5 linked regions of the Macaca mulatta genome follow. The protein of the gene in region 1 purifies or fractionates together with the protein of each later gene. This does not show direct contact. Links are inferred from orthologs where the notes say so. Each region holds a gene or a part of one and is shown in the gene's direction. Other genes may lie near its edges.

Region 1 (5,034 bases):
TCCCATAGAATGCTTCACTTTGACTACTAGTTGGTGGAAAATTTTCCTTCTCCATACAGAAAAAGGAATTGCTTCTTATCTAAGAGTAATGACCAGGAACAAGTCAATGAGGGGCTAAGCAACTTTGTGAGGTGCTGTCTCTAGTGCTGATGAACCACATGCCACTAGTAACAACCTCAGCCTTCCAAGGCCGCCTGAGCCTCTGTTCTTTTGGGCCCTGAAAATGCCAGAAGATTCCATTCTCTGATGGAAATCATTACCAAGACCTACAAAAGCCACCGTATAAAATACATGCAGCAAAACTGATAAATTCAAGTGTATGTGTTTGTGTGTGGTCTAGAACATTAATTGAATTCATGAGAAGCCTTAATTGTGAGCTGTGTTTTAGGCTGTGTGCCAGGCACTTAGGTTAAAATGGTAAACAATCAAATGTGGTCTACACCCTCAAAAGGCCTGCAGTTTACTGGGAGAGACAAACATTGACCCAGTAATTATGCAAATCACTAGAAGCCTAGATTCAAAAGAAAAGAAAAAAAATATAGAAACCTAGATTCAAAACTTAGAATCAAGATGTACAAGGAAGTGTGATTTCAGGTCTGTCTCAATTCTAATATAAACTCTCCTGCACTCTGGGCAAGTCCTTCCCTTCCTCTGGATGTTAGTATCTTCTTCTGTAAAAATGGTGTCATACCATTTGCTTCTGAGGAAATCTCGCCCATTTGTCAGAATTCAGCCAAGGCAACATCACCTTCATGGTGCTTTCCCTGGCTCTCCAGGCTGTTCCTGGGGCTTCTGCTCTGGTCTTCTTGCCACCTGGGTGTACCTGTCTCACCACATCTCATGTTACAAGTTTTCTAAGCAAGGAGTAAGCTCATCAAGACTTTTATCCCTGTATCCCCAGTGCATTGTGGTGTCTGGCTCGTGTTTGTTAAATGGATGGATGGATGGATGGATGACAAGTACAATTGTGGTGCAGGTTGTGCGAATATCATTATGAAACCTGAAGGGACAATTTGCTGGCTGATTGTCTCAGCTGAAATAATGGGACAGTATGAGCATTATTATATAGGTTTTGAAGCCTGAAGATTTCTAGTTCTGATTCTTTGTGGTGCTTTCTTGGGCGGATGGGCCTCTTTCTGCTTGTCTGTAGCTGCATTCGTAATTACACTACCTTACAGGGCTGTAGAGTTTTGAAAACTGCAAAATGTTATTTACAGTCAACTGAACTGAACTTAGCAGGAACCTTATCTCTCGGCGGAGGATGGAGATTAGAAGCAGGGGAAGACAATTCCACGGAAGGAGTGGTGGGTTGCGCTGGGCCTTTCCAGACGAGATGCAAAGGTCTGGGAGTCAGAAAACATTGGTTAGTAACCAATCTCAGTTTAAGCTCTGAACCTCAGTTCTTCTATTTCCAAAACGGAAATAATAACTTGAGCTTCGCGTAAGAGTATGACGTTCAAACGTGATAATGGATAGGACGGAAGGATTAGGAGTGGTACCCGGGGGCCACTACCTCGTGCAACGCCCCAGCCCGAAATCAAATCCGGGGCGTGGTCCCACTGTGCTACCGACCCCAGCCTGGGCAGGAAGCGCCGGCTGCGGGGGAAGCCAACCCAGAGACACAGCCGGAAGTGAGTGACTGGAGCTCCAGCAGCAGCCGCGATGGGCGCAGCCGTGAGCCTATGGAGAGCGGAGGCGTTCCCGCTTCCACCAATGGAAGGCCAACCTAGGCGGGCCTTTGCAAATTGCCCTAGTAACGGCCGCATGGTAACTCGGGCGCTGGGCGCACTGTCCTATCTGCTGGTTTTCCACGCTGGTTTTAGCTCCCGGCGTCCGCAAAATGAAAATTGAGGAGGTGAAGAGCACCACGAAAACGCAGCGCATCGCTTCCCACAGCCACGTGAAAGGGCTGGGGCTGGACGAGAGCGGCTTGGCCAAGCAGGCGGCCTCAGGGCTCGTGGGCCAGGAGAACGCGCGAGAGGTGTGGCCAGCGGACCAGGGAGTTGGGGGCTCCGAGCAGGGCTGCTGCGGCGAGAGAGCTGCTGAAGTCGGTGGCTCGGGGCGGGATGCGCGCGCCAGGGGTCTCCCGCCATAGTTGCCTCAGGGAAGTGAAAATAGGCCAGGGGCTCGGGGAGGGGCGCCGCCCTGGAGCTGGGTGAGGGGCCGCCCCAGGAAAACTAATGACCACCCACTGGGGCCAGTTGACGGTTTGCTTCAACTCATGGACAAGTACTAATGGAAACCCACACAACCCCGTCCCCTTAATCCATGCTGAGCTCTATTCGCGACACTTATTTCCCGGGATACAGCGGGAGATAAGATAGGAGGTTACATTTTAGTGTAGTGAGAGACGATAAACGTGTACATCAATAAACAAAAATGATTATCTTGGTGGGGTTAGTTACTGCAGAACTTTGTCGGCCACGGTAAGGAAATTGGATTTTATTGTGAACGCACTGGCAGGCCGTGGGACGGTTTAAAGTAGGGAATTGACTAAACTTTAAAAGCTCGTTTTGGTTCCCAGGACCCGGGAGCTGAGGGAGAGAAGTGGGAATTAGGGAGAAGAGCAATCTGGTTTATTTATCCCTCCAAGCATCCTTTTTGACCATTCCAATTAAATCTCCTTTTTCTGAGTGCTAGTGATGCCAAGTACTTTCACATACATTATTGGTTTTTGGCAGGTGAAAATATTGAGTTGGGGAGAGGGCACTTCACCATATACTTGACACTCGTTTTAGTAATGGTAAAGCGGGGATTTGCGCTCACATGTATTTCTGACTCCCAAATCAGTGCTCTATGATGACATAGCCACTCTCTCTGCCTGCTGTTGTCTGAGGTCACAGCCATGCCCCTTGGCCTTTGCAGAGCCTTAGCTTGTACAAAAATCTTCACTTAATACAAAGTTAAGCTACTGCCTCTTAGCCTGATTTTTCTAAATAGAAAGGGCTCAAAAGAAAAACCTCGGGTTTCCATTTTGAGCATCATCTTTCCAAAAAGGAAGTGTTTGACCCTGTCTTACTAAGCAGCTATTACTGCAAGTAGCTAACATTGGTTGAGTGCTTTCCATGTGCCAAGCACTGTGCTAAGTAGCTGTGTGTCCATTGCCTTGTCATATCCAACGAATTAGTTGTCCCTTCCCTGCGTTAGTATGACAGTTTTCAGACATACAAAAAAAGTTGAAAGACTTGTATAGTAAGTACCTGTGTACCTAAATTCTATGATTAACATTTTACTATGCTGCTTTATCATATATCTTTCCATGTGTGCCTCTCCCAATCCACTTTTACATTTCAAGGTGAATTGCAGGCATCACTACACTTCACCCCTACACCCTTTAACATGTGTGCCATTGACTAGTATGAACTCTGTTCAAGTGAGGAAATTCTGGTTCATAGAGGTCAAGTAAGTAGGTCCAAGGTTACTCATCTGGTAAGTGGGAGAGTATTTTAACTCAAGTCTATGTATTTAATCCCAGAGTCCATGCTCTTAACTGATGTTGTATGCTTAAGACCCACCTCAGCTACCAGGTTCTTGTGTGATTCTGGTCACATCAGTAACCTGAAAAATGAGAGTTAGACTAGGTGATCATTTAAAGACCCTTCCAATTCTTTTTAAATGTTAGAATTCAAGCTTATCTCACCTGAGAGAAGTTGGAGTGGAAACTGAGGGAGAATAGATGGAAGAGGTCCTGGTCTGTAAATAAAAGCACATATCCAAGGTTTGTAAAGTCTCTTCTACCTTGAGTTTTCCAAAGAGCTTCAGTGCTGAGGATTATATGACAAGGTTGTATGGAAAGATCATAGTAGGTTTTTTTGTTTTTGTTTTTGTTTTTGTTTGAGATGAAGTTTCGCTCTTGTTGCCCAGGCTGGAGTGCAATGGTGCGATCTCGGCTCACTGCCACCTCTGCCTCCCGGGTTCAAGTGATTCTCCTGCTTCAGCCTCGTGAGTAGCCATGATTACAGGCGCCCACCACCATGCTCGGCTAATTTTTGTATATTTAGTAGAGACAGGGTTTCACCTTGTTGACCAGGCTGGTCTTGAACTCCTGACCTCAGGTGATCCACCCGCCTCGGCCTCCAAAAGTGCTGGGATTACAGGCATGAGCCACCGCGCCTGGCTAGGCTTTTTATCTGTTTAGAAATATAGCATCTGGGCTGGGCGCAGTGGCTCACACCTGTAATCCCAGCACTTTGGGAGGCCAAGGCAAGTGGATCACCTGAGGTCAGGAGTTCGAGACCAGCCTGGCCATCATAACAAAATCCTGTCTCTACTAAAAATACAAAAATTAGCCAGGTGTGGTGGCATGTGCCTGTAGTCTGAGCTACTCGTGAGGCTGAGGCAGGAGACTCACTTGATCCTGGGAGGCGGAGGTTGCAGTGAGCTGAGATTGCGCCATTGCACTGCAGCCTGGGTGACAGTGAGACTCCATCTGAAAAAGTAGCATCTGAAGAATATCTTCTAGGTTCTATTAAGGGCAGTGTGCTTTGGTAACTGAAGTGGAAATGGGATGGATATAGCATACACACACATATTCCTTACTTTTCTTTTTTTTTTTTTTGAGAGGGAGCTTTACTCTGTCGCCCAGGCTGGAGTGCAGTGGCGCCATCTTGGCTCACTGCAAGCTCCACTTCCCAGGTTCACGCCATTCTCCTGCCTCAACCTCCCCAGTAGCAGACGGATCACAAGGTCGGGAGATTGAGACCATCCTGGCTAACACGGTGAAACCTCATCTCTACTAAAAATACAAGAAATTAGCTGGGTGTGGTGGCAGGCACCTGTAGTCCTGACATATTTTTTGAGGGGCTGCTATAAGTGTGAGACCAAGGTACTTCACTGTCCATGAGGAATAGAGGTAGAAGAGGTAAGATGTATTCACAAGACTCTGGCAGTGTGGTCACTGCCCAGAGAGAAGAGCACCTTTTAGATAGTCACATATTCAGTTATTAAATCAGTGTAGCAAACCTTATATTATGCAGTCTTGAGATATAGATGCTCAGCTAGTGTAACTTTCTCAGTGTTCCCCCCTTATAGTCA
Region 2 (4,074 bases), about 20 Mb from region 1:
TGCTGCAGTGCTAGCACATAGTAAGTATTCAGTTAATGTTAGCCCGTTATTTTTTTTTTCTGAGTCCTAATGAAATTTCAACAATGTTTCCTTAGAATCATAAAACAGTTGGAGATTGAAAAGTCTTTTGAAGTTTTCTGGTTATCTCCACTGTCCTAGGATATGACTTTCATCTCCTTTCCACTGATACTTAAAACCATGGAATAAATACCGCAACTGGATTATTCTAATTAGTGGTGGAATAACAGGAAACGACATGTGTGGAAAGACCAAGGGAATATGTGGGGGAAGAGGGAGACTAGTGGGAGAGGCACGGAGAGAGTATAAGGGGCACACTCCAAGGGGAGAAAATACAGGGAAGACAAGTAGGAAAAAAAAAAAAAAACAAAACACAGAAAAGATGTCCTCAGACAAGTGTAAGGACAAGAGTGAGAAAAAGGAAAGAAGGGGAATACAGAGGGATCTTAATTTGTGAATGCAATCACCGACACGGTGTAAGAGGCAAACGTTCTGAGTTCTAATCACTGTAAAATGCATGGTTATAAAATATACTCTTAACCTCTGTGAGTCGTTTTCTTTAGAGTTTGCAGCGTGGATTAGATGAGATTAGTGGGATGGATGATCTGTTAAAGAGAAAACTCTTCAAATAAGCGGTTAAGAATGAGAGAGAAAGCTGCAGAAAAAGAGAAGTGGAAAGAGAGAGGGAGGAAAGGGAAAGTGTAAGAGGAATTGTTAATAAGGCAGGTGAGGACTAAGGGAAACCACTGTAACGGTGCTGCTGTGGCTACTGCGGTGACTACTTCAGCACATCAAACGTTGACAACTTGCCAAGTTCGTTATTAGAGTTCTACATGCACAACTTCATGCTACCCTCATAGCATCTCTATGGGGCCAGGTTCTCGTATCATCCTCGTTTCACAGAAGATATAGAGAGGTTTTGTAACTTTCCCAAGGTCTTACAGCTGGGAAGTTGTGGCCAGGAAGGGATTCAAACGCACGTCTGTCCACCTGCCAAGCCAGTGTTGTTAAAATCATCTCTAAAAACCTCGCAAAAGGCTTGGTTGCTAGTCATCCGGTCGGTCCAATGCCTGGGCCCAGGCACCACTCGCCACGTCCTTTCTCCTCCCGGCGGTTTCGAAAGTTCCACCTCTTCTCGAACGGCGTCCCGTCTCCGTGGAGATCGGCGTGGGGCGGGACTTCCTGCCCCACGCGAGAGCACTTCCGCCTCGAGCCGGAAGCTCTGTGGCTCACACCGCGGGTTCCTGCGCGTGGGGAATTGTAGAGTTTGCGTGGCGGGAACGCGGCGGCAGTGAGAGCGAGTGGCGCCGGCTGTTGCGTCCGGTGCGGCGATGCTGACCCCGGCGTTCGACCTCAGCCAGGATCCGGACTTCCTGACCATCGCCATCCGCGTGCCCTACGCCCGGGTCTCCGAGTTCGACGTCTACTTTGAGGGGTCCGACTTCAAGTTCTACGCCAAGCCCTACTTTCTCAGGCGAGTTCTGGGTGCCTGGCCGCAGGAAAGGCGCATTCGTTAGATAGCGGCTTTAGAGGGAGAATGCAAGGTCGAGAGAGCAGTTCTCGATTGCGCGAATGCCATTTCCCGACGTTTCCACAGCTTCTCTTGGTGACAGGGCAATGCCCTCCCTCTTCCAGGGGTGCGTTTTAGATGCTGCAGAAGCCCTTTTCCTTCTTAAGCTTTCTTAAATCCCACATCAAAGGATTGCGGAATCACTTGAAAAAGTGGCGTTTGGACCGTGTCACTTGCCCGTTTCTGCCCTGTCGCCCTAGTTCTCGTTCCATTTTGACTTGTTCTGTTCTTTCACTCCGCGTTCGCTCTCCCAGTCTCTCCCTCCCTACGAACGGCGCGCGCTGACATCCCCGTGACTTCCCAACCCATCGGTCCTTTTAACTTTGCTCAGGCAGCCTTCTGTTGATCCATCTCTTGTCTGTCCCCTCCCTACTTCCTGAAATTCTTACCTTTTTTGGACCTCTTGACACCATATTAGCCTAGTTCTCGTGCTTCCCTGCTGTCTGCTGCTTCTCTGTTTGGTTTTGCCCCTGATGTGTGGTTATTTCCCCCAAGTCTTCGTGAGGGGCCGTCAGTACTTGATCTGTTTAAATTATTCTCCTTGCAGAATCGTAACCTTAGTAGCAGCTAACACTGATCACCCGCAGTGTGGTGGACAAGCAGTTCCGTTAAGTGCTTTGTAATGCCGTATCTCATTTAACTTTGACAGTGTTGCTTAGGGATAAGCACTGCTATTAACCCCATTCCACAGAACCCGCTGCTACATATTCATCGTAAAGCATTGCCAATCTTTTGTCCTTCTCTTTATCCATCCTCCTAATTTTTCTCAAGTGCAGCTGCAGCCTGCTTTTCCCACCCAAGTACTTTTGTGATACAAACCTTCTCCACCAGTCAAGGTGGTTTTTTCGCTGTTCCTGAACCAGTTTTGCTCGGATTTCCCTTATACCGTGTAACGTACCTATTTGAATATATTGCAGTTTCCAGTTTCTTAATTCACTTATTTCTTTAGTTTGTTTATTGAGTTTCAGTGTTGGGATTATTGCGCTGAACAAGACAAAGTTCTGCCCTCATGTACTTTACACTGGGGAGAGGAAAACAATAAACTAGCCGTCTACCTAATTGTGGCAGGTGCTATGAGGAGAAAGAAGTGCATGATATAGAATGAAAAGGGGCCCATATTTTATAAAGTAGTCAGGAACAGCCTTTCTGGGGAGGCGATATTTAAGCCAGGATGTGAAGAATAGGAAGATTATGGTGGTAGCAAATATTTATTGAATTTTTACTCCAGATTGGTGCTTTATACGGATTATCTCATTTGTTATTAGGAGAGTATTACAATGAGGTTTTATTATTTACCCGTTGCCGTGGATGGATTATTTATGGGCACCCCCCCAACTCTTGCCCCCAAATTCATATGTTGAAGGTCTAATTCCGGTGTCACTTCTGCTTTATTGTATTCATCAAAACAGTCCCAGAGCCTGCTGAATTTTAAGAGGAGGGGACATAGACCTTCATGGTTGGGAAGAGTGCTGTGAGATGGGCATTCTTTGAAAATACAGTTTGCCCCCAGGTGTGGTGGCTCACGCCTGTAATCTCAGCACTTTGGGAGGCCAAGGTGGGCAGATCACTTGAGGTCAGGAGTTTGAGACCAGCCTGACCAACATGGTGAAACCCCATCTCTACTAAAAATATAAAAAAATTAGCTGGGCTCGGTGGCACGCACTTGTAGTCCTAGCTACTTGGGAAGCTGAGGTGAGAGAATCATCTGAACCTGGAAGGCGAAGATTGCAGTGAGTCAAGATTGTGCTATCGCACTCCGGCCTGAGTAACAGAGCAAGACTATGTCTTAAAAAAAAAAAAATACAGTTTGCTGTGGCATACCAAGGACGAATAAAACCTGGTCCCTCTCCTTGAAGAACGGAGAGTGTAGCTGGGGAGGCACCCTGTAAGCAAATATGATTTCCTATGCAGTAAGAATTGAACTCTAGGCTTTTAGAGTTTAGGGGAAGGGAGCTGGTAATAATAGCTATTTTCTGAATGCTCACCTATTGTGCCAACCACTGAGCTCTTTGCATTTTCATTTCATGCTCATAGTAACTCATGGATAGTTACTGTTATTTCCCTCCTTTACAGAAGAGAGATTTATGATTCTTGAAGAATGATTAACTTGTACAAAGAAGGTTGTTACACATCTAGTAAATGGCAGATCTGGGAGTTAATTCAGATTCTGACACTAAAGTTAGTGTTTGTAACCATTATAACAAACTCATCCATAAACTGACTCCTTATTCTGGCTTAGAGGGATTTTCATTCTGAAAATGTATTGAAGCTTGAGGAAACCTTGGGACTAAAGGCTCTGGGCTGTTTGGGACTGTCAGGTGTTTTTGTTTTTAATTGTATTTAATGGGAAAGAAGGGGGAGGGCCATGGGAGGAAAGGAAGCTCAAATTTCAAGTTTGGAATGATACGGAGTGGGCCTGAGATGCCCTTCTGATGAGTTTAAATTATCTAGGCAATATCAGGCAGCCATAGACGTTTTTTAAAATA
Region 3 (4,246 bases), on another chromosome or scaffold:
AACAATGCACATTTCTTGCCCTTACACTCTGACAGACCCGACAACCCTGCCTCCAAAGCCTCTGCTATTTATTTATCAATTTGGCTGCAAAACAACTAACAACAATCCTGGGTAATGGAGGGGGGTTTCTGTCCCAGTCCCCCAGGGCAAAAATTATACTGGTCATTCCCTGAGGGTCCAGGGAGTCTTTTCCAATTGATAGGGGTGTTCAGGTAGAAAAGAAGATAACACAGCAAATGGCCTGTCCAAGACCCAGGACCAAGCTTAGTACAAGGCAGATACAAACAGACCTGCAGTCCATGGACAGGCAGAGTCAGCTCCAATATCTGATTCTGGACATGAACAACATAGGGCTGAAGCACATGAAGGCTGAGGGTTCAAGCGCATGAGGGTTCTGAGAGTGGGTCATCTCACCTTCTGCTTCTTCTCCCTCTTCCTTCCTGGGAATCTTTGCAAGTACTTTTGATGATGCATCAGCATGAATTTTCTTCCGTTTGGGAAACGCCTTCAAGATACCCCTGGGATCCATTGAAGTACGGCTGCATCCCAGCCTGTTGGAGGGTTGGTCAGGGCTGCTGTCAGGTGGAAATACAGAATTAAGGATCTCCAACCCCTTTGCCTATGGAGGTAGGGGGTAGCAGCCCAGTTTGGGGAAGCGGGAGGTTGGGGGGGATCTCTTCAAACCCTGTTAAACTAGCTTTTTAGCCTAGCTTCACACTCCCCAGTCTTTCAAAGTTGGAGTATTAGGGGAAATGAGGGGAAGGCTGGAGCCATCGGGGGTACTTTTAAGGAGTAGGAAACTATACCCATTCCTCAAAGGGGTTGCTCTAAAGATTCAGCACAGCCCTCCTGCTGCGGCCCACTTCGAAGGGCTTTACCAAAATGGGATGCTGGGCTAGGAAATGGAGCTTTAGGGGATGGAGCGGAGACTGGGGAGGACCTGCACATAAACTCCACATACTCTTTTTCTACCTCCAACACAGACTTGCAGAGGAAAACCTGAGGAGGCGGACTTTCGCGGGTGAGTGGGAACGCCCTGCACCTGCCCTGGTCTCAGCCTCTCGACATGGGGATGCTCAGCGCCGCAGCTGCGGGGAGATGGGGCACGGCCGCAGCAGGTGTGGGGAGCCCTCCGGGAATGGAGGAGTCTCGCAGCTGGGGGTGAAGACCCAGGCAGGTGTGGTGTACTCGCCCTGTACGCAGCTGGCGCAGGCCAGGGAATCCCAGCTCGGGGCTAGTAGAGAGTTGGAGTGCCCAACCCCGGCGCCAAGAGTCTCTCTCCAACCGCCAGAGTCAGTCCCCGGGTGCGGTCGACAACAGGCCAAGTTGGTCACCCGAGGGTGGGCAGGAGTAGGCCACTTACCAGGAGAGCCAATGAGAACGGACGAAGGGGGGAAGGAGGGCAAATGCCCAGAATAGCTTCCGAGTCAGCCGGAAGTGACCTTCAGTGGAACGGTTGCCATGGCAGCGGCCGGGCGGGCTGCTTAGCACAGGAAAGATGGCGGTGACGGGCTGGTTGGAGAGTCTGCGGACAGCCCAGAAGACTGCACTGCTGCAGGACGGTAACTCGAGGGTCCCCGCGAGCTCCTTCGTTTTTTTCCCCCAGGGTCCGGCCCTCCGGGAAGGGCCTCAGGGCCTGGGTCGGCAGAGCTGGAAGGGTCTCGGTGGTCAGCCGGGCCAGGTCCTGCATTTGCGGATGAGGAGACTAAGGCTCACAGAGATGACATGACCAGAACACATGTCTCCGGACACCCCTTAAATTTCTCTACACCATCTCGCCCCGCTCTGAGTTCTGTTGCTAATATAGTAATTTCTTTTACATTCGTTATCTCATTTGCTCCTCACCACTGTCCTGAGAGGCTAATTTTCCACCCCGTTTTACAGAAGAGGAAACTGAAATCCAAGAATGTTTTGGACTTTAGAGAGGAGAGAGGCCTGGGCTCTAGTTCCGACTGTGCCATTAATTCACCACGGGCTCTCCAGTCGGCACCTTTACTTGTTTGGGCCTCACTTTCCTCATCTGTAAAATTAAGTGGATGGACTACCGTTGTTATCTCTGAGGTCCTTTCCAGCTGTAATATTTTTGTTAAGTGAACCTCTAAATGTTTTCTGTGTCTTAAGGGGAGCTAGAGCAAGGACCAAGGGCTGTGCATGGAAGAAGTGGGCACAGGGGCATGGATATCTAACTTTTCCTCACCCTAGGATTGGCCGATGTCAGCCCCCTGTGCACTTGGGTCCTTTCTGGACCCACTGGGTAACCAGGATGAATTGTGTCTGAAGTTCCTGAGACTTTCAAGATAATAGCTGGTGATTCACATTCACAGGCAGAGGCCAATCAGGGAAGCCTGGAGTTTGTGGAAATTAAAATCATTTACTCGTTCGTGCAACATTTAGGGAGGCTTTTACTATGTGCCAAGCTCTAAACTAGAACAGAAAGAAAAAGATATGTTGTCACAGGACTTGGACTGGTTGGGAAAAACATGTATTTAAGTAATAAGATGTGTTAAATAGAGGTTGTAGTCTTGTATAAAATGGTAGGAAAGAGTGAAGGTGTAAGCGACATGTCTTTGGAAGAAGACCCAACAGAAGTGATGATGTTTCTGGGTCCTGAAGAATTAATAAGGCCAGGCATAGTGGCTCACGCCGGTAATTCCAGCACTCTGGGAGGCTGAGGCGGGTGGATCGTTTGAGCTCAGGAGTTCGAGACCAGCTTGGGCAACATGGCCAAACCTCATCTCTTCAAAAAATACAAAAATTATGGCCAGGTGTGGTGGTTCACGCCTGTAATCCCAGCACTTTGGGAGGCTGAGGTGGGCGGATCCTTTGAGGCCAGGAGTTCGAGACCAGCCTAGCCAAGATGATGAAACCCCATGTCTACTAAAAATGCAAAAAAATTAGCCAGGCATGGTGGTGTGCACCTGTAATTCCAGCTACTCTGGAAGCTGAGGCAGGAGAATCGCTTGAACCCGGGAGACGGAGGTTACAGTGCACTGAGATTGCACCACTGCATTCCAGCCTGGGTGACAAGTGAGTAAGACTCTGTCTCAGACAAAAAACAAACAAACAAAAGACAAAAATTAGCCGGGCATCACGGTACATGCCCCGTAGTCCCAGCTACCTTGTGGCTGAGGCCAGAGGACCACTTGAGCCAGGGAGGTAGACGCAGCAGTGAGCCGAGATCATGCCACTGCACTCCAGCTTGGGCGACACAGCGAGACCCTGTCTCAAAAAAAAAAAAAAAACAGGAAAAAAAAAAGAATTAAAATAGGTGTTTGCTGAGTGAAGAAGAGGGGATAGCTATTCAAGGAAGAACGACTCACATATAAGGGCCCATATGTAAAGGTGTGAAGGTACGTGCCTGATTACTAGGGGAGTAACAAAACGTTTAGTAATGTTAAAGCAGTCACCCAGTCAGAACAAACCACCTGTAACTATGTCAGGTACTATGCTACATGCCAGGATAGAAGGGAGAATAAAAAGGTCCCTTTTCTCAAGCAGCAATAAGGGGATGTTGTGGAAAATGAAGAGAGGTTACAGATAAATTAGGACATATTGTGATAGATTTCTTATGCCTTGCTAAATATTTAGGACATTTTCTCATAGGACAGTGGTTTTCTGTTTTTATTGTGGTAATAAATACATCACAGAATTTAGCATTTTAATCATTTTTAAGTGTACAGTTCTGTGGCATTAAGTGCATTCACATTGTTGTGCAACTATCACCACCATCTTCAGAACTTTTTAATCTTTCTCAACGGAAATTTTTTTCTTTTTGGAGACAGGGTCTTGCTCTGTCACCCAGGCTGTGGGGTACAGTAGTACGATCATAGCTCACTGCAGCCTTGAACTCCTAGGCTCATGTAATCCTCCCACCTCAGCCTCTTGAATAGCTGGGACTACAGGCATGTGCCACTACACTCAGCTCAAGTGAAATTCTGTAAATCAAACGCCAACTCCTCATTCCCTCCTCCTCCCATCCCCTGGCAACCACCATTTGACTTTCCGTCTCTATGAATTTGACTGCTCTAAGAACCTCATCTAAGTGGAATCATACAATATTTATCTTTTTGTAACTGGCATATTTCACTTAGCGTAATGCTTCAAGGTTCATCCATGTTGCCACAGTTGGATGCTTCCAGCTGTGCCGTTAATTCACCACAGGCTCTCTAGTCGGCCCCTTTACTTGTTTGGATCTCACTTTCCTCATCTGTAAAATGAAGTGGATGGGCTACGATTGTTATGTCTG
Region 4 (4,026 bases), on another chromosome or scaffold:
AAAAACCAAGAAAAAAGTCTAAATTCACACCCTTGGGTCATTTTAACAAATGCAGCAAACATGGGAGAACATTGAGAGAAAACTGTGCTAATAATTAATTTGGCCAGACAGAATGGCCAGGAATGCTTACAAATATAGTGACAGTAATGGTGTCATTCTGAGGCCTTCGCCTCAAGGAAGGGCTTGAAAGGAGATAAAGTCTAAGGGCAGTAGCTGGCATTTCAAATTCTAGATGCCTGAGACAGACAGGCACCGAGACAGCTCCACGCTTCTCTCAAAGTAAACATATAATTCATAGAGGGTTAACAAAATAAGAATGTGAAATTTTTCCCCTTTAAATCTCTAGGGGAGGCTCACGCCTGCAACCCAGCACTTTGGGAGGCCGAGGTGGGAGGATCGCTTTAGGTCAGGAGTCCGAGACCAAACTGGGCAACATAGCGAAACCCTGTCTCTACAAAAAATTAGCTGGGTGTGGTGGCACAGGCCTGTAGTCCCAGCTGCTGGAGAGGTTGAGGTGAGAGGACCGCTTGAGCCTGGGAGTTGGAGGTTGCAGTGAGTCGTGATGGTGGCACTGCACTCCAGCTTGGGGGACAGCAAGGCTGTCTCAAAACAGAAAAAAAAAAAAAAAAAAAGGCTGGGCGCGGTGGGTCACACTTGTAATTCCAGCACTTTGGGAGGCCGAGGTGGGCGTATTACGAGGTCAAGAGATCGAGACTATTCTGGCCAACATGCTGAAACCCTGTCTCTACTAAAAATACAAAAATTAGCTGGGCATGGTGGTGTGTGACTCTAGTCGCAGCTACTCCGGAGGCTGAGGCAGGAAAATTGCTTGAACCCGGGAGGCGGAGGGTGCAGTAAGCCGAGATCACACCACTGCACTCCAGCCTGGGTAACACAGCGAGACTCCGTCTCAAAAAGAAAAGAAAAAAGAAAAAAAGGCGCAAAGGCTCCGTTCAGTCCTTAGATCCCACGATACAAACTTTCTCCTCCCGACCCAGCCCCGTGTGGCGGGAACATTCTGGAAGTGACGGCAATCTCTGCGGCAGTCTTCTGTCGGAAGTGACGTCGCTATCCCAGAATCCTTAGAGAAGGAGAAGCGCGTTCTTGCGTCCTAGTCCCAGTACAGCGTGGAGAGCTTAGGTAACGTGTTCTGATTCTCTGCGGGACGGCTAGCACGTTTGTGCTTTGCCCGCCGCGGCTTAGGGGACTTTTTGGGGCCGCGTAGTCGGTGTTTTTGAACTGAGTCCACAGCTCGTGGTGGGCCGTGCGGCGCCCTGACCCGGCCTCACCATGTTGGTGCTGTTTGAAACGTCTGTGGGCTACGCCATCTTTAAGGTAGGTGGGAGAGCGAGCCGTTAAAGGGGGAAGGCGGGTGCTGGACAGACAAGGAGAGGGAAAGACTTAAGCACAGAACTACTCAGGGTAGCGTGGGTGCCTGTTATGGCCCGGGCTCTGAGAGGAGGGAGAAGGCCTTTACATCTGAGAGCCTTGTTACGGGTAACACGTGGCCCCGCCGTTTGGGGAGACCAGTTCTGCGTTAAAGGATTTTATTTCCTCCGTTGAAGAGGTGGGCAGGAGGCGTGTTAGAATTTAACAGTATAGTTATAGGAAATTCGGATTTTCTTCTAGATGTTTTAAGGAATGATCGAAAGGTTTTTTTGTTGTTGTTGTTTTGTTTTGTTTTTTGAGATGGAGTTTCGCTCTTGTTGCCCATGCTGGAGTGCAGTGGCGCAATCTTGGCTCACAGCAACCTCCGTCTCCCGGGTTCAAGCCATTCTCCTGCCTTAGCCTCCCGAGTAGCTGGGATTACAGGCATCCACCACCACGCCTGGCTAGTTGCTTTGTTTGTTTGTTTGTTTGTCTTTTAGTAGAGACAGGGTTTCACCATGTTGGCCAGGCTGGTCTTGAACTCCTGATCTCAAGTGATCCAACTGCCTCGTCCTCCAAAGTGCTGGGATTACAGGCGTGAGCCACCGTGCTCTGCCGATCGAAAGGATTTAAGCAAAGGAATGACCTGCTAATTGGTCTTAATACGGTTACTCTGCTATGTGGAGATTAGACTCGAGGAGGTAAGAAAGGCAGCAAGAATACTTTTGCATTCATTTAGACAAGATGAAATTGCCTGGTATGGAGATAAACAAATATCGATAGAAATTTTGAAGGTAGAACAGAAAGGATTGGCTGATAGATTGAATTTGGAGTTTTGGTTTAAATAAGATGTTAAGAAAGTTTCTTGCGGGGGAAGGACGAAAGATTTCCGGTTTGGGCTGTGCAAAGCTTGCAATGTTTATTAGACCTGATAATGCAGTTGTGTAGATCGGGCAGTTCAGTATTTCAAATTCGAAGCTTAGGGGAAACAATCTGGGCTGGTGATGTCAATTTGAGATTTGATTGTTTTCATGGGGAGAGTTTGACAAGTTCGTCAGCACTGAAATGGTTGAACGGTAAGACATTCGTATCGCAAGATGCTGTTGAGATGTCAGTAAGAATGAGTGAGATTGAGTGCCTTTTGTGCCGTGCACTTTTCTGAGCTCTGCGAATATAGCAATGAAAAATAAAGTTTTATGTATATTCTACGTATATATATGTTGGTAGAAAGCAAAAAACGCTAGATAAAAATAAATGCAATACAATTTTAGCTGTGAACCAAAAAAAACCATTTGTGGTGTGGATGCAGAAGGTCTAGATGGGTGCGGAGTTCTCCATGTTTCACTTCTGACATTTGAAAATATGCAGTTTGCATTTGATACGTCAAATACTTATTTTTAAGAAAACCAATAAAATCATTAAAACCGAAAAGGCAGTTTTGCTTGTTTTTACCTTAATTGGAGTTATCTGTAATTGCAGTGTTAGTAGTTTTAAGGATTTTAAGTTACTTAGTCCCCTTTAGAGCTACGAAACATGTCAATTTTACTTTTCTCCAGCTTTTTGGAATCTTATCTAAAATCTCATGTAGAGTTCTGCATAGCTCCAAATTCTCTTAGCCAATGTGGTCTGTCAGTGTCTGTCGACGAATTTCACCGTTAATTGATACAATATGCTGTCCTGAACCGGATGTTAAGAGGAGCAACTGTGCACAGTGCACTGGTTGTCTCCCATGGTAGGAAGGAATTGGCTTATCAATGGTCTGCCTACAATTTTTTTTTTTTTTTTTTTAAGTAACTGAGTCTCCCTATGTTGCCTAGGCTGGTCTCAAACTCCTGGCCTCAAAGTGCTGGGATTACAGGCATGAGGTACAGTGTTCTGCCCACTTCCGTATTTAGAGCGATTCGAAAGGAAAACACTTCAAAACTTTATTGTTCATTAACAGGGTTATATATATGTATATATATTAATATAAAGACATTGTGTAAAGCAACTTTTGTGATTAATTCTAAGATATTATAAAAATTCAACCTGTGGCCGAGTGCAGTGGCTCACACCTGTAATCCCAGCTACTCAGAAGGGTGAGGCAGGAGAATCAGTTGAACCTGGGAGGCAGAGGTTGTAGTGAGCTGAGGTCGCACCACTGCACTGCAGCCTGGGTGACAAGGCAAGACTCCATCTCAAAAAAAAAAAAAAAATTTACACCTGTGTCCTTGTGTCACGTGGCACACAGCATAAGATTTTAGTCTTGCTCATACCAGACTTTCTTCGGCTGCTCCTCATGTGGTAGCCATTAGTACGTATAACTATTTCACATGAGATATAACTGATAGGACTGAGGAAGTGCATTTTAACTTATTTGAATTTTAATGGTTATATTGTACAGTGTAGCTGTGTAGCATAGCATTTTGTGTCACTTCGTTTTCTCAAGGTTTGGAGAAAGATTTTTGGTTTATATACCAAATGTCTGTATAAAACCTAGGCACTGAGCAATATATTTTTTCTAACTTTATTAGGGGTACTTTACATACTGTATAACTCGCCTGTAGGTTTTAGTTGCAGTCCAGTTTTCTAGTACACTTTGTTGCAAAAAGTTTTGCCCATTTTCAAGTTAGTCCTGCTCTAGACAACCACTGATCAGCTTTCTTTGCATAATTTTTT
Region 5 (3,845 bases), on another chromosome or scaffold:
ACTGTCCCCAAGCAGCTGGAGATATACGTAGGTGTTAATAATCTACTAGTTGGAAGGATAGTACTGTGTGTACAGTATCATTATTTTAACCTCATCATTTGCAGTTGATTGCATTGCACCGACCCTCTGTAACTGCCTGTGAATCATGTCAGAGTTACTCCGTCGACATTTGCCGAACATTTGTCATGTGGCAAAATATTTATTGTAGAAAAGTTGACACATAATAGCTCTGAGGTTTCACTAAATGAGCTTTACACATCAGGCTACAGGTACAACTCATTGATGTGTAGTCTCCAAAAAATACGGTTTATGATTTAAGAATACTGCCTCGCCAGAAGCTCCTTAAGTGTAAACAAAAAGGGTTTCGTGACCAGTGAGGTGACTTGGCTTCACCGTTTGCTGTTACAGAACTATTCCGTGGGGGATTTCATAAGTAGTGAGGGAGAGGTGGAAGACCCGGCTGAAAATAAAGTGGGAGCAACCCGTCCTGATCTGTTGTTGGTGACTGGGGATTCGCCTAGAGGGAAGAAACACGGAATCTCTACTAAGGCTGAGGAAGGCGTCAGGGCAAACCTCAGCCTCCCCTCACTGGACGCGTTCGCGCCACCTGTCAGACTGGAAGAGCCGCCAGGGATTGAGAGGGTCGGGAGAGGGTGCCCGGGGCCCCGGAAGGCGGCTGCAGGTCGCAGGTCTCCGCCCGAGAGGCGCTGGGGGTGGGGTTGGGAGCGGTGGGGGCTGCGTGCTAGATACGGACGAGACTTCACGTGGTCTCCAAAGCCCTGCTAGGGGACCCGGGGCGCTACCGCGCGCCCCTCCCCTGAGGTCTCAGCTCCTCCTCCCCGGCACGTGACCGCAGCTGGCTGGTAACTGCGCTCCCGCAGAGTAGCTTGCTCTGTTTCTTCCCTCCCGCCGCGGTGCCCTTCTTCTCCCCCGTTCCCATCCCTCCGCCCTCCCCCGCTTCGCTCCTCACGTCCCAATCGCGGCTTGAGCTTAGAAGCGCCCGCCCCTCCACCCTTTTCTTTGCTTGCTCATTGGCTGAAGTCTCAAGGACGCGTCCCGAGGGCGGGTGGCAGCCATTGGTGGGATGAGCAATCCGAGTTCCCGGATGAGGGAACATTCTGCAGTATAAAGGGAGCAGGGAAGGCGGGAGACAGCGCAGTTTGAATCGCGGTGCGACGAAGGAGTAGGTGGTGGGATCTCACCGTGGGTCCGATTAGCCTTTTCTCTGCCTTGCTTGCTTGAGCTTCAGCAGAATTCGAAATGGTAAACTTCGCAGAGACGCTCGATGACTTCGCGGGTTTTTGCCGGCGGGAGAAAAACCCGTTACACGGGGGATGGGGGTGAAGTGGCGACGGTTGGGAACGCGCGGAGACAGGATTAAGAAGAGCGGGGGGAGGTGTTTTGTCGGCTGCTAGCGGAGCAGCCTCGGATCTCGCGGCGGGCGGCGACGGTTGGGTGGCGCGCGCAGCGCCGCTGGGGGCCGGCGGGCGGGCGGAGGCGCGCGGCCGCGGCGAGCGCGCGGCGGGGGGCGGACGGGCGGGGTCGCCCCTGCGGCGCGCCGCGGGCCAGAGACCCCGGCGGGGTGCGGGGACGCGCTCGCGGCGGGACGCGCCGCGGTGGGGGATGGGCGCGCCGCCTTGGTAATTCTATATTCTCCGTTCCTCCTCCGCTCGCGGGCGTGTGCGCGCCGCAGGCTGGCGGTAAGGCTGGAAAGGACTCCGGAAAGGCCAAGACAAAGGCGGTTTCCCGCTCGCAGAGAGCCGGCTTGCAGGTCAGTAGTTGTTCGTGCGGTCTGGGAGTCGTGATGTTTTTCTTTGCATCTCCTTTTTTGTTATTCACCGCTCTCCATGGGCGTTTCGTCTATGCGTGGGTGATGCGGTGTCGCGACTTGGGCTGCCCATACGATAAATATGGGGGGGAGGAATCACGTGTTTCGATGTCGGGACGCGTTGCTGCGCCCGTGCCACTTGCTTTGGCGCGCATATAATTTCCCCATCTCTAGTTCTCCTATTTTTGTGCATTTATGTTTGTGTATGCTTAAAATTTAAGTTCCCAGTGGGCCGTATTCATCGACACCTGAAATCTAGGACGACCAGTCATGGACGTGTGGGCGCGACTGCCGCTGTGTACAGCGCAGCCATCCTGGAGTACCTCACCGCAGAGGTAAATGGGTGAACGCCTATAATCCGGAGAAGGTTTGGGGGGCGGGGAGACGGCAAGAGGGAAGGAGGAAAGTGATGCAAGAAAACTCACAGGCCCTGAACGCGGCGAGAGGCCTAAGAGAACGCTAGAGGGAGCTGCTGTTCAACAAGGATCCTACTGAGCTTGAGTTCTCTGCTCTTGGAATTAAAATTGCGTGCCCCCTGTATATCTTGCCAGTCAGATAGTGGGGAACGACTCCAGTTGGTAGATAAGCGTTTGTGAGGGTTTTATTCTGTTCTCTGAATCTTGGCCAAAGGAAAGTTGGAAGGGAACTGATTAGATTCTGCCTTCTAGGTACTTGAACTGGCAGGAAATGCATCAAAAGACTTAAAGGTAAAGCGTATTACCCCTCGTCACTTGCAACTTGCTATTCGTGGAGATGAAGAATTGGATTCGCTCATCAAGGCTACAATTGCTGGTGGTGGTATGTTAACTTCTAAAATTTTTAAAAATTTCTTCAGAGGAAGGAATTCTTTGCTGCTTTAATTTCATTAGTTTTTCTAGAAGAGAAAATTTAAGTATATTTTCATTGATGCAAGTATGGTTTTATCATGAAATTTGATTCATATGTATAACTGAATTTTTACTTCATACTTGAGCTGCACGTTTTTAAAGATACTTGAACAGTATACTTTTTTTGGTTTCAAATACTGTGATTTTAAAAAAAAAATCTTAAGTAGAATTAATTCCTGTCACTCTCCTAGGTGTCATTCCACACATCCACAAATCTCTGATTGGGAAGAAAGGACAACAGAAGACTGTCTAAAGGATGCCTGGATTCCTTGTTATCTCAGGACTCTAAATACTCTAACAGCTGTCCAGTGTTGGTGATTCCAGTGGACTGTATCTCTGTGAAAAACACAATTTTGCCTTTTTGTAATTCTATTTGAGCAAGTTGGAAGTTTAATTAGCTTTCCAACCAACCAAATTTCTGCATTCGAGTCTTAACCATATTTAAGTGTTACTGTGGCTTCAAAGAAGCTATTGATTCTGAAGTAGTGGGTTTTGATTGAGTTGACTGTTTTTAAAAAACTGTTTGGATTTTAATTGTGATGCAGAAGTTATAGTAACAAACATTTGGTTTTGTACAGACATTATTTCCACTCTGGTGGATAAGCTCAATAAAGGTCATATCCCAAACTAGTTGTGTATTAAATTGGCTTGATTGTAATATGAATTTGTTTTGAATATCTAGCAGCAATAACTAAGCACATTTCTTTGTGACTGACCTGTCAAATCTAGATCAACAAAGTGAGATAGACCAAGTATATATTTTTAATGTTATATAATAAGCTACTAAAGTTTTAATTTAAAAAGTTGTCAGGAGCTGGAGTGGGAGCATTTCAGTTTGTGCATTGACTTTGCTTGCTGTGTGACAGCACTGCACTAGTATGCTGTTAGTGTGGTGGACTTGGGGAGGGAGAGAATAGGTAGGAATGTCCTGTATATCCACATAATGAACTCCGAATTTAAACTCTGAAGCTAATAGTGCTACGTGCTAGGCCCTGCTTTGAAGTCTGAAATTGAAATTGTTAAGTGCTCAGTAACATCATTGGGGATATACTATCTCCATTTTATTGAAGAGAAGCAGGCTTTCTTATTTGAAAGTACCGAGTTCTGGTGGTAGTTGGAATTAACAGCTT

What was found. The genes of interacting proteins can lie anywhere in the genome.
Region 2: the proteins of RUVBL1 (region 1) and SHQ1 purify together in Homo sapiens (affinity purification with mass spectrometry; 3 studies listed by BioGRID and IntAct, counting the BioPlex papers as one, with this or other methods). This does not show direct contact. The link is inferred for Macaca mulatta from reciprocal best matches to the Homo sapiens genes RUVBL1 and SHQ1.
Region 3: the proteins of RUVBL1 (region 1) and DPCD purify together in Homo sapiens (affinity purification with mass spectrometry; 6 studies listed by BioGRID and IntAct, counting the BioPlex papers as one, with this or other methods). This does not show direct contact. The link is inferred for Macaca mulatta from reciprocal best matches to the Homo sapiens genes RUVBL1 and DPCD.
Region 4: the proteins of RUVBL1 (region 1) and NOP58 purify together in Homo sapiens (affinity purification with mass spectrometry; 4 studies listed by BioGRID and IntAct, with this or other methods). This does not show direct contact. The link is inferred for Macaca mulatta from reciprocal best matches to the Homo sapiens genes RUVBL1 and NOP58.
Region 5: the proteins of RUVBL1 (region 1) and H2AZ1 purify together in Homo sapiens (affinity purification with mass spectrometry; 6 studies listed by BioGRID and IntAct, with this or other methods). This does not show direct contact. The link is inferred for Macaca mulatta from reciprocal best matches to the Homo sapiens genes RUVBL1 and H2AZ1.

Annotation. Positions count from the first base shown.
Region 1 is NC_133407.1:155,848,996-155,854,029, forward strand, and holds the start of RUVBL1 (ruvB-like 1), read left to right. Parts: upstream 1-1,761; 5' UTR 1,762-1,840; coding exon 1,841-1,981; exon of another isoform or gene 1,982-3,077; intron 3,078-4,401; exon of another isoform or gene 4,402-4,574; intron 4,575-5,034. UniProt on the Homo sapiens protein: Possesses single-stranded DNA-stimulated ATPase and ATP-dependent DNA helicase (3' to 5') activity; hexamerization is thought to be critical for ATP hydrolysis and adjacent subunits in the ring-like structure contribute to the ATPase activity.
Region 2 is NC_133407.1:136,344,080-136,348,153, reverse strand, and holds the start of SHQ1 (protein SHQ1 homolog), read left to right. Parts: upstream 1-1,274; 5' UTR 1,275-1,349; coding exon 1,350-1,492; intron 1,493-4,074. UniProt on the Homo sapiens protein: Required for the quantitative accumulation of H/ACA ribonucleoproteins (RNPs), including telomerase, probably through the stabilization of DKC1, from the time of its synthesis until its association with NOP10, NHP2, and NAF1 at the nascent H/ACA RNA.
Region 3 is NC_133414.1:113,662,868-113,667,113, forward strand, and holds the start of DPCD (protein DPCD), read left to right. Parts: upstream 1-1,446; 5' UTR 1,447-1,498; coding exon 1,499-1,562; intron 1,563-2,578; exon of another isoform or gene 2,579-2,660; intron 2,661-2,796; exon of another isoform or gene 2,797-3,267; intron 3,268-4,246. Other genes in the region: POLL (DNA polymerase lambda), read right to left, coding at 415-529. UniProt on the Homo sapiens protein: May play a role in the formation or function of ciliated cells.
Region 4 is NC_133417.1:107,447,649-107,451,674, forward strand, and holds the start of NOP58 (nucleolar protein 58), read left to right. Parts: upstream 1-1,226; 5' UTR 1,227-1,290; coding exon 1,291-1,335; intron 1,336-1,868; exon of another isoform or gene 1,869-2,069; intron 2,070-4,026. UniProt on the Homo sapiens protein: Required for the biogenesis of box C/D snoRNAs such as U3, U8 and U14 snoRNAs. Part of the small subunit (SSU) processome, first precursor of the small eukaryotic ribosomal subunit.
Region 5 is NC_133410.1:109,266,998-109,270,842, reverse strand, and holds H2AZ1 (H2A histone family, member Z), read left to right. Parts: upstream 1-1,204; 5' UTR 1,205-1,260; coding exon 1,261-1,263; intron 1,264-1,693; coding exon 1,694-1,771; intron 1,772-2,049; coding exon 2,050-2,163; intron 2,164-2,496; coding exon 2,497-2,626; intron 2,627-2,906; coding exon 2,907-2,968; 3' UTR 2,969-3,345; downstream 3,346-3,845. UniProt on the Homo sapiens protein: Variant histone H2A which replaces conventional H2A in a subset of nucleosomes. Nucleosomes wrap and compact DNA into chromatin, limiting DNA accessibility to the cellular machineries which require DNA as a template.